Linked DNA regions of Kluyveromyces lactis. The protein of the gene in region 1 binds, or shares a complex with, the protein of each later gene. Links are inferred from orthologs where the notes say so. Each region holds a gene or a part of one and is shown on either strand. Other genes may lie near its edges.

The links. Proteins that work in one complex are often made in the same cells at the same time.
Region 2: the proteins of SEC4 (region 1) and SEC2 are in contact, whole or in part, in a crystal structure (PDB 2EQB), measured with the Saccharomyces cerevisiae proteins. The link is inferred for Kluyveromyces lactis from reciprocal best matches to the Saccharomyces cerevisiae genes SEC4 and SEC2. Residues at the interface, in NP_116650.1 of Saccharomyces cerevisiae: Lys22, Lys44, Phe45, Asn46, Pro47, Phe49, Ile53, Ile55, Asp56, Phe57, Trp74, Thr84, Ile85, Ala88, Tyr89, Arg91, Gly92; in NP_014127.1 of Saccharomyces cerevisiae: Asp95, Asn98, Lys99, Val101, Glu102, Asp103, Thr105, Ala106, Phe109, Asp110, Ala112, Asn113, Val116, Ala117, Arg120, Lys121, Tyr124.

What each region holds. Positions count from the first base shown.
Region 1 is NC_006041.1:1,071,529-1,078,016, reverse strand, and holds SEC4 (Rab family GTPase SEC4), read right to left. Parts: upstream 2,719-6,488; coding exon 2,074-2,718; downstream 1-2,073. Other genes in the region: VTC2 (vacuolar transporter chaperone), read right to left, coding at 1-1,593; proteasome activator BLM10, read right to left, coding at 3,084-6,488. UniProt on the Saccharomyces cerevisiae protein: Involved in exocytosis. Maybe by regulating the binding and fusion of secretory vesicles with the cell surface. The GTP-bound form of SEC4 may interact with an effector, thereby stimulating its activity and leading to exocytotic fusion.
Region 2 is NC_006039.1:193,077-199,766, forward strand, and holds SEC2 (guanine nucleotide exchange factor SEC2), read right to left. Parts: upstream 3,168-6,690; coding exon 1,191-3,167; downstream 1-1,190. Other genes in the region: AVT2 (Avt2p), read right to left, coding at 1-928; formin BNI1, read right to left, coding at 3,457-6,690. UniProt on the Saccharomyces cerevisiae protein: Guanine nucleotide exchange factor for SEC4, catalyzing the dissociation of GDP from SEC4 and also potently promoting binding of GTP. Activation of SEC4 by SEC2 is needed for the directed transport of vesicles to sites of exocytosis.

The sequences.
Region 1 (6,488 bases):
TTTCACCAAATGGGAATTGGCTAAATCAGCGATCCATTTCACTTGGTTACCACCATGGGCTAGAACGCTTAGTGCATTCTCGGATGAGGCAATAGAAGACGCAGATGTCTTCACTTTGATTTCCATAACAGAGTATGGGAACTTAGCGTATTCGCCAGGTCTAACCAATTTCAATGGATGGGCCACGTTAGAATCAATGTCAGATCTGTGCCAGTGATGAGGGTCTCTGATTGGACGGTCCTTGTCAAAGGAATCTTCACGGATGTAAAGGATATCTGAATCGATAGTGATTCTTACACGGTCATCACCTGGAATTTGGAATGCAGTTCTTTGGTATAAAGTTCTTAGAACTGGTTGTAATTCGTTTTCAAGAATGAATTGTTGGATGGAATCGAAATTGTTTTCCAATTTCTTGGTAGTATCGTTGCTTGAGCCGGATTCCTTCAATTTCTTGAGCATCATTTCCTTATATTCGGTATCACCGTTGAAAATAAATCCATTGATGAATTTTGGTTTCAACTTAATCCTTGTTTCATCGAAATCGGTCGAAGAAGAATCCTCGTTGTCTACAAACATTCTCTTTTCAAGGAAAATGTCCGGCTTGTCGTTCAATTTACCAATCCATCTCAATCTCAAAGTTGGAGCAGAGTTGGTTTTCAATAACTTGTTGTTGTACAATTCGAAGAACTCGTTATCGAAATATAGCGTGGAGATGACAGGTTCAAAACTTTTGTTCAAATGACCCACATCGGTTTCGTTACTGGAACTGGACATTGCTGGACCACCGTCGTCATTCAAAAGATTAGACTCCAATCTATCGATCAAGTCTTCGTTCTCAGAGGGTGCTTGAGCATAGACTAACACTGGCAAACGTCTCAAGATATTAGTTTTCACTTCCATTAAATTATCTTGATGAATCCAGAATTTGAAGGATTGTGTAGACATCTGTTCGTTCTTTGGCATAGAGGAAAGTTTTGATGAGTTAGCCAAAGATTTCGATACAGATGAGAAGTTGTTACGCAAGATGTTGTATAGATAAGAGATCTTGTACAACAATGGAGAGTATTCTTCCGAATGGAACGGTAACGATTTTAATCTCACTTGTAACAATGACTTGACAGATGGGTAACCTGGATGCAATTTGTCGTGTTTCTTCACAATCTTGGTGAAACCAGTGAAATTTAAACGTTGGAAATTGTCCAATTCCTGGGCCTGACTCAAACATTCTTCCAATTGTTGATGGAACGCCTGAAAATCAATCGTATGTAGATTCTCTTCACTTTCAGTTTCTTCTTCAAGCCTATTCAAGGTATTCATAATCTTATTGTAAGCAGAAGTTTGAAATCCATAAACTTTCTCCAACTCCTCATCCAACGCGGAAACAAATTTGGATTCATCCTTCTCACTCCAATATTCATCTACATTACTCTTCCCCTTCTTCCCCTTCTTCCCACGGCCAGAAGAAGAACCATTGAACATTTCAGAGTCTCTGATAACGGACTCTTTTAACAACTTTTTCAATTTCTCATAATCGATATAAGAATCCCTCCATGGGGGATAAGTATCATTAGCTAGCTTCACACCAAATAGCATTGTGCCTTGAATTTAAAAAGACCAAATCCCTCTTTTGACAATATTATAAGGGTTATAATAAACAGCAACCCTTCCTGGTTATAAAGCTGAAGATGGTGATCAGGATTACACTTCTCAATTCAAGATACAAGGAAGCTGAACAAGAAAATAGAAATCTACCCAACTGTTTATTGGCTAAATAAAATCTTTAAGTCCATCCTTATATCTGTTTCTTTATTTGCATTTCCTTCTAATGCACTCTTTATATAATCATCGATGCCCTTATATTGGGAAAGTTGGGCAATTTTATATTGATCTTGAGTGGCACGTGGAGATGGTCATGTGATTATTTACGTCACGTGTAAATCACCTGATTTGGAATGGTCGTGTAAAGTTACCTTTGAACTTTCTAATACATACCATTTGAATATATATATATATGTACACACACAAAGCCAATGCATAGGTTGTTATTTCTTATTGTACGCTCTGATCTGTGGTTTAGCAGCAATTGGACTTGGAGCCTGAAGAGCCTGAGCCACGAATGCTTACATTTCCCTCCTTTTCAGCCTTTCCTTCCATCTTACCATCATCGATCTTTTCTTGGATCAACTTGGCCAATGTGAAGAAGATTTCGCTGACGTTGGTGTCGTCTTTGGCACTGGCTTCAATGAATGGGATCCCTAGCTCCTTAGCAAGAGCTTCACCTTGTTCGTAAGACACGGTTCTTGTATCCATGTCCTTTTTATTTCCGACTAGCAGCATTACTACATCCTCGCTAGCATGTTGGTTAACAGTGGAGAACCATTGTCTGATGTTTTCAAAAGTTCTTTCGTCAGTAACATCGTAAATCAATACAATACCCATGGCACCTCTGTAGTATGCGGTTGTGATGGTTCTGAACCGTTCCTGGCCAGCAGTATCCCAAAGTTGTAACTTCACACGTTTCCCATTGATGTCTACGGTTTTAATCTTGAAATCGATACCGATTGTGGTGATGAAAGTTGGTGTGAACTTATCTTCAACAAAACGAACCAAAAGACATGATTTACCTACACCGGAATCACCTAGAAGTAAAATCTTCATGACAGAATCATAGTTTTTATTCGTGCTGCCGTTAGCAGAAACCGTTCTTAATCCAGACATTATAGTTTCAATCTCCCTTGTTTCCTTCACGCTTCAATTAAGTGAAAAAAATTGATATCACAGTTCAACACTGTTATTTTATCTCGATATATTGGAGGAGTGGCGAGCTGGTTATATCTGGTCAACAGAATCTGGGTTTTAATAGCTCGGCCGTAAAGTGTTTGGGTTAGTGCCTTTCGTGATGGCTATCCTGCTTTCACCCTTTCAAACAATATTTGTCCAAAATCTAGATACTGATCGAATTCGTATATGGTGATAGGCATACCCAATGTCAAGTTAAATTATACGATTTATACTTGTAGATGTACATATATATTCATGTGCATACGCAGCTTGTGGGTCATCTGTGTCGATTGTGCAACTTCTCAGGCGTAGTAACTCCTCCAAAGAACACCTTCCATATCTTCTAATTGCTCCGAGGTGAACTGGTATCTGTCCAAATGCCAGGTATCTGCTCTAACTTTCTTGTATCTAGAGATGATGTTCTTTGCATCAGCACCGCACATACCGCTTGTTCTTGCCCAGGACGCTAGTAGTGCCATATTCTCTGGAATCCAATTTGGTAACGGTGAAACGTACGGGAATGCTTCGATGATGGCACCGAGACCCAAGATCGCACCGTGAATATCTGTGTTGGATTTGGAGAGTGCAGCTTTCTCCTCGAAAGTATATGAACCAAGTTGACGCTTGAAGTTTTCCAAGAGAGTGTGCAAAGTATCGGTATCATAAGATATGTTATGCACGATACCGGCAAGGACATAGGAAGCCTTGAGACGAACCTCTACAAAACTCTTACAGAACAATTTGTCCAAAACGAACTCTAAGATCTTCACTTTACCAGCATGGTCCATAACCAACGATTGTGTGGAGAAAAGTTTCTCTGCTAAAGTCAAATTCACACGTAATTCATGAGAGCTAGTCAAATCTGTGTCATCCAAGATCGAAATTATGTCAGGTAACAACGTGCGGCTTATTGGAATGTATGCAAGTTCCACGTAAATACTGTAAACCTTAATGTTGACCATTTTACAAACATCTCTCATTCTGTCTAACTTCATCAAGAAGGGTGCCAAATAACATTTAGCAAATGGACCCAGACACACTCTAGCACCAGTATTGATTAAATGAGCAGCCCAATAGAACATAGTTGATGCCAAGTAGAAATACCTAGTCTTCAAGATGTCCTGAGCGGGTAGGTCCTTGATCAACAATCTTTCTTTTTCAATTTCGTTGAAGATTTTAATAGCCCTCTCTCTCAACCAGCTTGGGATTTCTCTGATCTCAATTGGACCAGATGCCCCCGTTTCGAGAAGAGACTTCACGTTTGGACGATGAGCATTTGCCTTTATGTAGAAGATAACTGAGAAAAGTTTACCAACTTCACGACGAACCACGTCGGAAGGATGGTCAAAGACTAATTGATCGAGTAAATTTTCAACAGAACCCATCTTGAAACCTACATCTGAAATTGCCTGTGTGACTATTATCAATTTACCAGAAAGTTCTAATGAAGATTCACTTTTAACATCAAACAATCCATCCACGGTCAAGAACCTTTTGTATATTTGAGCAGATCTTCTCAAATCAATGAAAGATGGTACCCACCAAGCTACAATGCTCCAGATATCCGTTGTTGTGGCATTATAGTTGTTGTCTAACCATTTACCCAAAAACCTTTCTAAGAACTTTTCAAACTTCTGTAAGTTTTTCTCATCCGTATACTTCAAACTGAACAATAGCCCCGAAATGATCTCACTACAAGCAATCATTGAAGATTTATCGTCTTTTTCATATATCTCTTCGCAAATGTCAAGGATATCTTCGTACTTCATAGAACAACAGTTATTAGAAATCAAGTGAACAAAGATTCCAAATAGACTCAATCTATTCGTGCTAAAGCTGCTTTGCTCCTCATTGGACCGTATGAAAATGTTGCACATATCTAACAACCACTCCTTTGTTATTAGCTTACCAAAGTTATTCATTATTTCCATATCTTCGGGCTTAAGGTTGAATGGAATCTGATTTTCAGCTTTGACAACGCCCATAGGCCTTCCTCGGCATAACCAACCAACAAACGCTTTGGAGTCCACAAAAAAGTTAGGATTTTCAACGTTATTAATTTCTTTAAAGTATTCTTCCTCAAAGTTTGGTTTTGATGTGTCCAAGTATTCCACATATTGTCTCACATAGTCTGTGCGATAGGTGGAATCGATATCGTAGTTATAGTTCCCAAGGGAAATCATTTTGTTACAAACATTTAACATTGTTACCATACAATTCGATATGAGAGATGGATGTTTTGTCTTCGTTAACTCGAAACTTTGAATTAACACCTCCTGGTTAGGTTTAATCTCTAAATTCATTTGAATGACCTGCACTATACGCAATATGTGACAAATAGACATCCAACGCAACTGTGGGTCTTTCCTTTGGAAATCAACAAGATTGATATGCAAGGTTTCGAGTTGCGAGAAATACTCCTTTCGTTTCCTATCCTTAGCTGTTTTAACAACGGCAACTTGTTTATCTATTGTTTCATCATTTGGTTTTAGGCAATCAATCGCAGATTCGTCAAATAGGCATACAGCAGATGGAATTTTGATTAGGCCCGACACACTCTCCATGACTTGATCACAAAGTGAGACTAAGAAGTAAGAGTCGAGACGAGATGCACGCAATAAAAGAGTGAGCATTTTCTCAAGATTTTTATAATCTGACATCATCTTTCTCTGTATTTTCTTCATGGATAACACCTGGATCAAAACCTCCAATTTCTTAGAAGCTTCGGCATCAGTACTGTCAAGTGCAGCTTCGAATGCTTTGAAAACCTTTCTTACGATTATCGAATATGAACCAATTAACTGTTTCATAACATGAATCATGCATTGCTGTGCGGGTCTGTGAATGTTTGGATACACCGATAGAGATAAAGAAATGACATCATTCAAAAGTTTCAATTCCAGTTTCGATGGTTTCCTATTAGTTGAATATAAGGTAAGTCTAGACTGGTGAAGTTCCTGACAGTCAGCTGCGAGATACGTTCTTGTAAATGGAAGGAACGGTTCCTCCCAGTGTGCTATGTCTTGTATGTTTTCTAGGAATTCCACAGATATCGACGCCTTTGGATCATCAATGAATATAGTTTCTTGCCCAACATCAGTAAACCAGACCTTCAAACCATGTAATAAAGTCTGGAATACGGATGTTGAATTCTCATAATTTTGATTTAAAAATTTGAAGAGCTTGTGTAAGAATAAACCAATCTCGTGTCTCAAATGATGTATTTTTGAGTATCTGGGATCAAGCGCACGTTCAGCTGCTGTTCTTCCAAAGAAATAATTGTACGAAAACACATCAATATCCCTGAAAGCGGTATGAGAATTCATCATGGAACAGTTTGAATCCTCTTCACCTCTTGGCACTGGGGTGGCAATGCCTGAAGGTGCCTCCGATGGTTCAGTTTCGTAGTCAACCAATTGATCGTGTTCTGCAGCGCCTGGATCAGCATTGATATCAAGATTTCCTTGCGAGTCAGAATCAACATAGCTGTCATCCATTTCTATATCTGCGTCAAAGGTATCATTTCTAACTTTCTCGATATCTACAAGAAGCTCATTGTTGTCACATGATTCATCTCTGATTTTTTGTAATAGCAACAATTTCTTCTTATATGGATCCATATTACTGACGGATTTGTTATTCTGATTATAATCAGCATCATATAGGATGCTACTACCCGATAGAATATTGGTTAGGATCAAAATATT
Region 2 (6,690 bases), on another chromosome or scaffold:
CAGAGTAAGCAGTTGTTAAGCAAACGATGCAAGAAAGAATTAAACTGACATGTGTCAACTGATTAAATCTTTTTAAAGAGGGATTTCTCAACGAGAAAAATATAAAACTCGTGTTGTGATGGCATACTAACGCAAATGAAATCACAGAAATGCCTTGAAATATCCTTGGTGTAATAAACAACTGATGTAAATGGAAAGTTCCTTTATATTCGCCGCTTACTAGTGGAGCTTTAACAACTATGATAATAACAATTGCAATAAGTCCTAAAAGTGCAAGCATTGATGTCTTTGAAAGCTTGGAGATATCCCTGTTAAGAGATAGCGGAAACGATATGAACAAAGTCACCAATGTGATAATGACATTCCGATGAAAAAGATCTGTATGAGAAGGGAAAAAGGCGCTCAAAACATGAGGTATTGAATCTCCAATGATAATGCAAAACCCAACGCAACCACCAAATGCAAATAGGCCGTTGGATACTAAAATCAAAAGTCCTCCCCATTGACCCATTGCTGTTTCTACAGATGCTTGATAAGTACTCTTACCGGTTAATTTCAAATTGATCACAATCAGACGAATGGTCCAATCAACCAGTATGGACATTAATATGGTCGCAAATAATCCGCCGATGATTCCGCAATTTTTCATCGCAAAAGGTTGCCCTATCACTCCTGATCCTAAAATACTATTCGCCATGTTCATGAAAGCCATGTACCTGTTAGATTTTGCCTCATTAGATAAATAGATGTCATCTGTTAATGGGTCTTCTTCATTAACATTAAAAATGTTTTGGTCAACTGCGCTGTCAGCTGTCTTCGCGGTGTCATCAAATGACGTTAACTCCAGTTCAAACGGATTTGGTTCATTCTTCGATTGTTTATCAGACAGAGCTAGTTTTGCATACTTTTTATCAGCGGCTATCTGCATCTGTATTAATTATAATTCACAAAGTAGGCCATAAGCGGTTCAACTATCGTGCGCTCCGTTTGCTACTACAACCTTCTTACAGCCATATTGTTTTATCTAAGGCAAGAAGAAATACTTGCAATATATAAATTTGGTGCTTAGTCTTTTGGGTATGATAAGGATGACGAAATTTGACAAATCACGTGCATTGAAATGAAACTCTCTACATCAGGTATTTATTGTTACAAAGTATGCAAGGTAGGAGGAAAGATTGTGCATGACACTAGTTGACGACATCCTTTGCATCGTTAAAACTATCCTCTTCATCAGAATTATCCAAATTTTCAGGCTTTTCAGATTCGGGTTCAAGATCAGCGGACAGATCTTGATAAGTTTCCAATAAATCACTTGGCTCTTCAGATGATGCATGGGTATCATGAGCTGATTCGGCACTTTCTTTGTTATCATTTAATACTGTGGATGATTGTGAGGGCTGTCTTGAATGCTGTGGTTCAATTTTTTTGCTTTTTTTCTCTTCATTCTTTCCTTGTAAATCCGTGGCAGTCTTCTCATTAGTTTTCTCATTATGATCGCCAATATCATCCGATGATTGATCTGTGTGACGTATACCATTGACTGTTTCATCCACACTGATAGAGTTTGCGGTATCCGCTTCAAAATCGAAAGTTTCATCCTCCTCATGTGTTATAGGGACAGGGATATTGTTTGAGGCAATGCCTAGACCTTGTTCTTCTTCAAAACTTTTAGCTTTGGAAATATCTGTTGATGGGGCAATATCTGTAGCTACCGATTCGTCGAGAGACCATACGCCAATATGCGACCATTGTAAAGATGCTCGTAGTTGTGAAAGACGGGCCCATGACCTCTGGATATTGGTTGTTGGTAGTCCGTTTTTGTCGGCAAATTGTGGACCATTTTCTATGATAGGAGTTGAAGATTGCGATTGCTTTAATCCTTGGAAAATACTTAATCTTTTGGATTTCATTTTCGGCCTTGATGCTTTAGTTACCTCGGAGTAAGCATTGACCTTGCCTTGATGTATTGATGCCAAAGCTACTTTTTCTAGATGCCAAGCACCAGATCTCAATGATCTCAAAAATGCGAAAATTTCACAAACTTGTCTTAATTTCAACAAGCAGTAATGGCACACGGGAAATTGATTTGTTAACTCATTTTTACCATTTTCGAGCTTTTGATATGTTTTGAAGATATAAAGTCTTCCATGTTCAAGGATGTCGTTTCTATTTTCACCACAGAAAGCACATGGTTCTACCATAGCAACAGGCGGAGAATTCACCGGACGGCTAAACAAATGAGAATCTTTGTTTTCGACCTCTGGAGAGTCGGGAATACTTGGAGAACTATATCCTGTACGATATGTTTCATTTATTCCACTAATCGGCTCGATTGATACCAGTCCTTCCATCATTAAATTCATTAAATTTCTTTTTACAAGCCATCCTACTCCGGAGGCATTATCAAGTCGCAAGACGGGACTTATTTCATAGTTTATTAATCTCCTTAATAGTTTCGATTCCGAAGTGGTTTGTTGAAGGTTTTCGCATTGTGGTAGCACAGCAAGAAATTTCAAATATTCTGTGTATAGAGGAACGTCATACCTTAACGAATGCAGAAGAGGGGAAAATAACACGCCTTGAAACGACAATGAATTATCATTTACTGAGGTTAGGTTGGTGGTTGATCTATCAATTGATGTGGTAGAGGACGTCGCAGAATCTGAAAGTGAAACGTTCTTCGAAGAATTGAAATCATTTTCGAACTTGTAGAGTACGTTTTTGAGATTCTTTAACTGCATTGACAATGTATCAAGTAATAAATCCTTTTCTTTCAACTGCTCTTTGAGCTTCGAGTTTAATATTTCTACAGCATTTTGTTCTTTCCTTGCATCTGCTACCATGTTATTAGCCTCATCGAATAAAGAAGCGGTTAAGTCTTCAATTTCTTGGTTCAATGTAGCCACTTTCTTTTCGGCATCAGCACAAATTTCTTCCTGTTTCTTGAATTTTGTCTTATCGGTTTCGTATTGTAATTTCAAAGATTGTAGTTCCTGCTTCAATTCATTATATGAGTTCGCAATATTCTGCTGAGTGGAAATGGTTTTCTTAGCCACTAGTAACTGTTCTTCTAATTGGGATTGTTTATCAATGCTTTCGATTAATTGCGTAGATAAAGATGTCACTTGCAAAGATATGCGCTTTGACTCTTCTTGATCCGCCATTCTAAAAATAAGGCTACCGTCAGCTTTGCTTGTAGCAAGTACTTTCTGTTAGCAAAATCAGTGATTCATTTATTGAAGTAAATTACACAGGCGAGTATTTATGTATTTCATTAGTCCTCTGGTAATTTGGTTGATATATATTACATTCTTGATTTCATCAAACATTGGAACTAAATTCATTACCCGGTTTTAAAATGAAAATGTCAATTTCGGTATACGAATTATGTCTATGCAAGTATACACATATTGTAGTTATTAAATAAATGCTGAAATGAGTATTATGTAGTCTTTAAGCATCAATAAACTCATCTTCCGATGAGTTCGATGTGTCCATCAAATCTTGGGTTGGCGATAACGGTTTAGGATGAGGTCCAACTTCTAGGCTTCCAACAAATTGTAGTTTATTAGGTTGGTCTACTTTCACAGAAGAATCTTTTTTTTTCAGATCCCTAAGCTTGTCCTTTGCTTTGATTGGGGATGGAGAAGCGTCTTTTCTTTCGTCAGGGCCTCTTAATTCTAGTAATAAATTCCTTGCTCTATCTGCAGGGTCTTGTTTTGATGACGACAAGCTTTCAGTTTCAGGAAGGCTGGCCGATTTTTTAGCAGTAGGCGATTCGGTAAGCGTTCTATTTTGTTCCACGAAAGCTTCGATAGTACTATCAGCAGTGATGTTATCAAAAATTGATGCCCCGGATTTACCATCTAGTAATTTCTTTCTAGCCAATGCACGTTTACGAGTACTAGATGGATCTCCTTTTGAAGGAGCTGCATTTTTCAATTTATCCAAAAGCTTCTCTATATCGTCCCTATCATCAGACGGTTCTTGCGAAGTGCTTAAATTTTTTGCTGTTGCCTTACTATCTGCCTCCTGTTGTTTCCGTTGTTGATCTTCAATCATTTTCTTTCTCCTTTCGTAAGCACGTTCTTCTTCTTCCAGTTTGACATTATGAGTTTTAGCTTTCTTGAATTCGGTAATGAAATCTGCAAACTTTTGGAAGAAAGAGTTTTTAGAGAACTTGTCGTTGGCATCTTCGCCAAATTTCTTCATTAGATTTTCAAATTCCAGCAAACTTAATTTGATTTCATCGCTTAGAAGATCAGCTTTCTTTCTAGCTTCAGGTAAAACCGGTACTACCTTATTTAAAACACGATCTAACGGATGGAATTTAGAAGGGTCACTTAGGTTTCCAATTTCAATAGAACGCTCAACGTTAATTACTGACTGTGAAAATTCCTTACAATCAGTTACCAACTGTTCGATGGATATTTTTGTTACGCTAAAAATAGGCTCAAGCTCTTCCACGAAATGGCTGTATTCGGGATAATTTTCACGAATTATCTTTTCCACATAGTTCAAAAAAGTCATACTGTTCTTTTCATCTTTAATGAAGGTCAATCTTTGTAGGGTGCTTAGCTTGAACCCCTGAGCTTGCTTTGAAGAATCATTCATATAATTACCAACTGCCAAAATAACATCGAAAACATGTCTGAGACTTTCAGATTGTTCGATGCACTGAACTGCTCTATCAATTTTTCTTAGTTTAGTGACCAAATCCGAATAGTCTTTTTCATAAGTAGTTATCATAGTGATTGCTCTCATACGAGACCCCCAGTACGGTTGTAAGTTAATCATAAATTCAACATATAGTTGATCTGCACGTTGAAGTTCATTAGGATCTTTTTCGGGGGGTTTTGCATCGTCAACAGATGTCACTCCCTCCCAATCAGTACTGTAAGGATTGAAATATCGTGCCAAATTATTCGTTACTTCAATTATGGTAGGCTTTGACAAAAACTCTATTACGCTAGGAGTAGATAGGAATTCTCTATCACATTTCATTACCTTCCCAACAACATCTTTAACATCGAGGTTGGAGAACATATGTAGGTTAATACCAAATTGTTGGGAAACATCTCTCGATAAAAAGGTAATCTTTTCATTTGCTTCCTTAGACTTTCCTTTTAATGATTTGGTTTCTCTGGCAGCAAACGCTTTTTCTAATTGACTTAATACACCTCTTTCGAATAGATCGTCAGCAACCTTTTCTGCTTGAGCATTTTTCCAAATAGAATCCCCAGCATTGTCAATTTTTTCCCAGTGTAATTGTTTGAGCTTCTTCTTGGGACGAGGATACCTTTCAAAGAGAGATGGTGATTGCGGTAGTAAGGGACTTGTGACTGTCGCTTTGGGTGTGTTTGCCGATGGAAATGGTGGAGGTGGGGGAGGGGGAGGAGGAGGGGGAGGAGCAATACCAGGGGATAATGCAGTAGGGAGAGGAGATGGTACTGCAGTAAGAGTTCCACCTAATGATACCGGTAAGGGAGGTGGTGGCGGCGGTGGTGGTGGTGGCGGTGGCGAAGCAGCGGATACGATTGTTGTTGTTGGATTCGCTTCAATAGATTCGGAATCCCCGATTTCAGACTGCATTGTCGTTGGCGAATATTTATCATTCAAGATCACATTCGAGATCTTGTCGCTTCCCTGTTGAGCATCTGTCAAAATGGGTTTTTCTGTAAATTGACTGACTGGTTTTTCAGTACTCTTTAACGATGCACCAGGAGATACAGATATGCCAATACCCACAGGGACATCATCGATGTCATCTGTCATTTTAACTTTTGATTTTAGCTCAGTCAAAAACGGTGGCAGATGTTCGCTCGTCGCTGTTGGGTTCACTGTAGTATTCTTTAACCTATTCAAAAACGATTTTCTATGATAACCGCTTCCAGGATACCTAGTCTCGCGTCCCACACGACCACCATTCGTAGACGTGGCGGTCTGTTGTCCAGTTGAATACTTTTGAGATAATGATTCAAGGAATGATGATCCATTGGATACAATATCCGACCCATGAGATGCTTGTGATTGTGATGAACCATCTTCTGAAGAGGAAGATGCCGAAGACAACGATGACGAAGATGATGAACTTGAGCCGGTTTTAGGTCTATTTTTCATTTCTTCTTTCAATGCATTGAGTTCATCAATAATTGAATTCATTTCTTCTACCTTTCTTTGTACAATTGTTGGATCCAAAGAAGGTCCGCCATTACTGGACTGCGTCAGGAGCTCTTTTAACTCAGGGTCATCTGCAAAGTCAATGTGGAAACCATTGTATTTATTCTCTAAGTCTTTCAATCTATCCAAGGCAGCTAACTTTTTGTCTTGGAATAATTCATTCACTCTGGCCTCAATATTGAACTTTGTTATATCGTTGCTTTCATTTTGTATTATTGCTAGCTTTTTCCTTAACTCAGCTAATTTTGTGGCTTGTTGACCTTTAACTTGCTCCTTAAATTTCTGGTTCTGCTTGGGTTTGACATCAGCAAAATTTGTCATTTCAAGCTCTCTTGCTTGGTTCTCAATATCTTCCATTTTTGATCTCAAGAGTTTCAACCTACTCTTGGAACCAACCGCAGTTCCAAGTCTGCGAGACTCATTAAGAAGATCTTGCTCTGTTTTTTGCAAGCTTCTTTGTAAAACGTTTTGTATGGCAGTTTTTCTTTCAGGATTCAATGGTTTAGG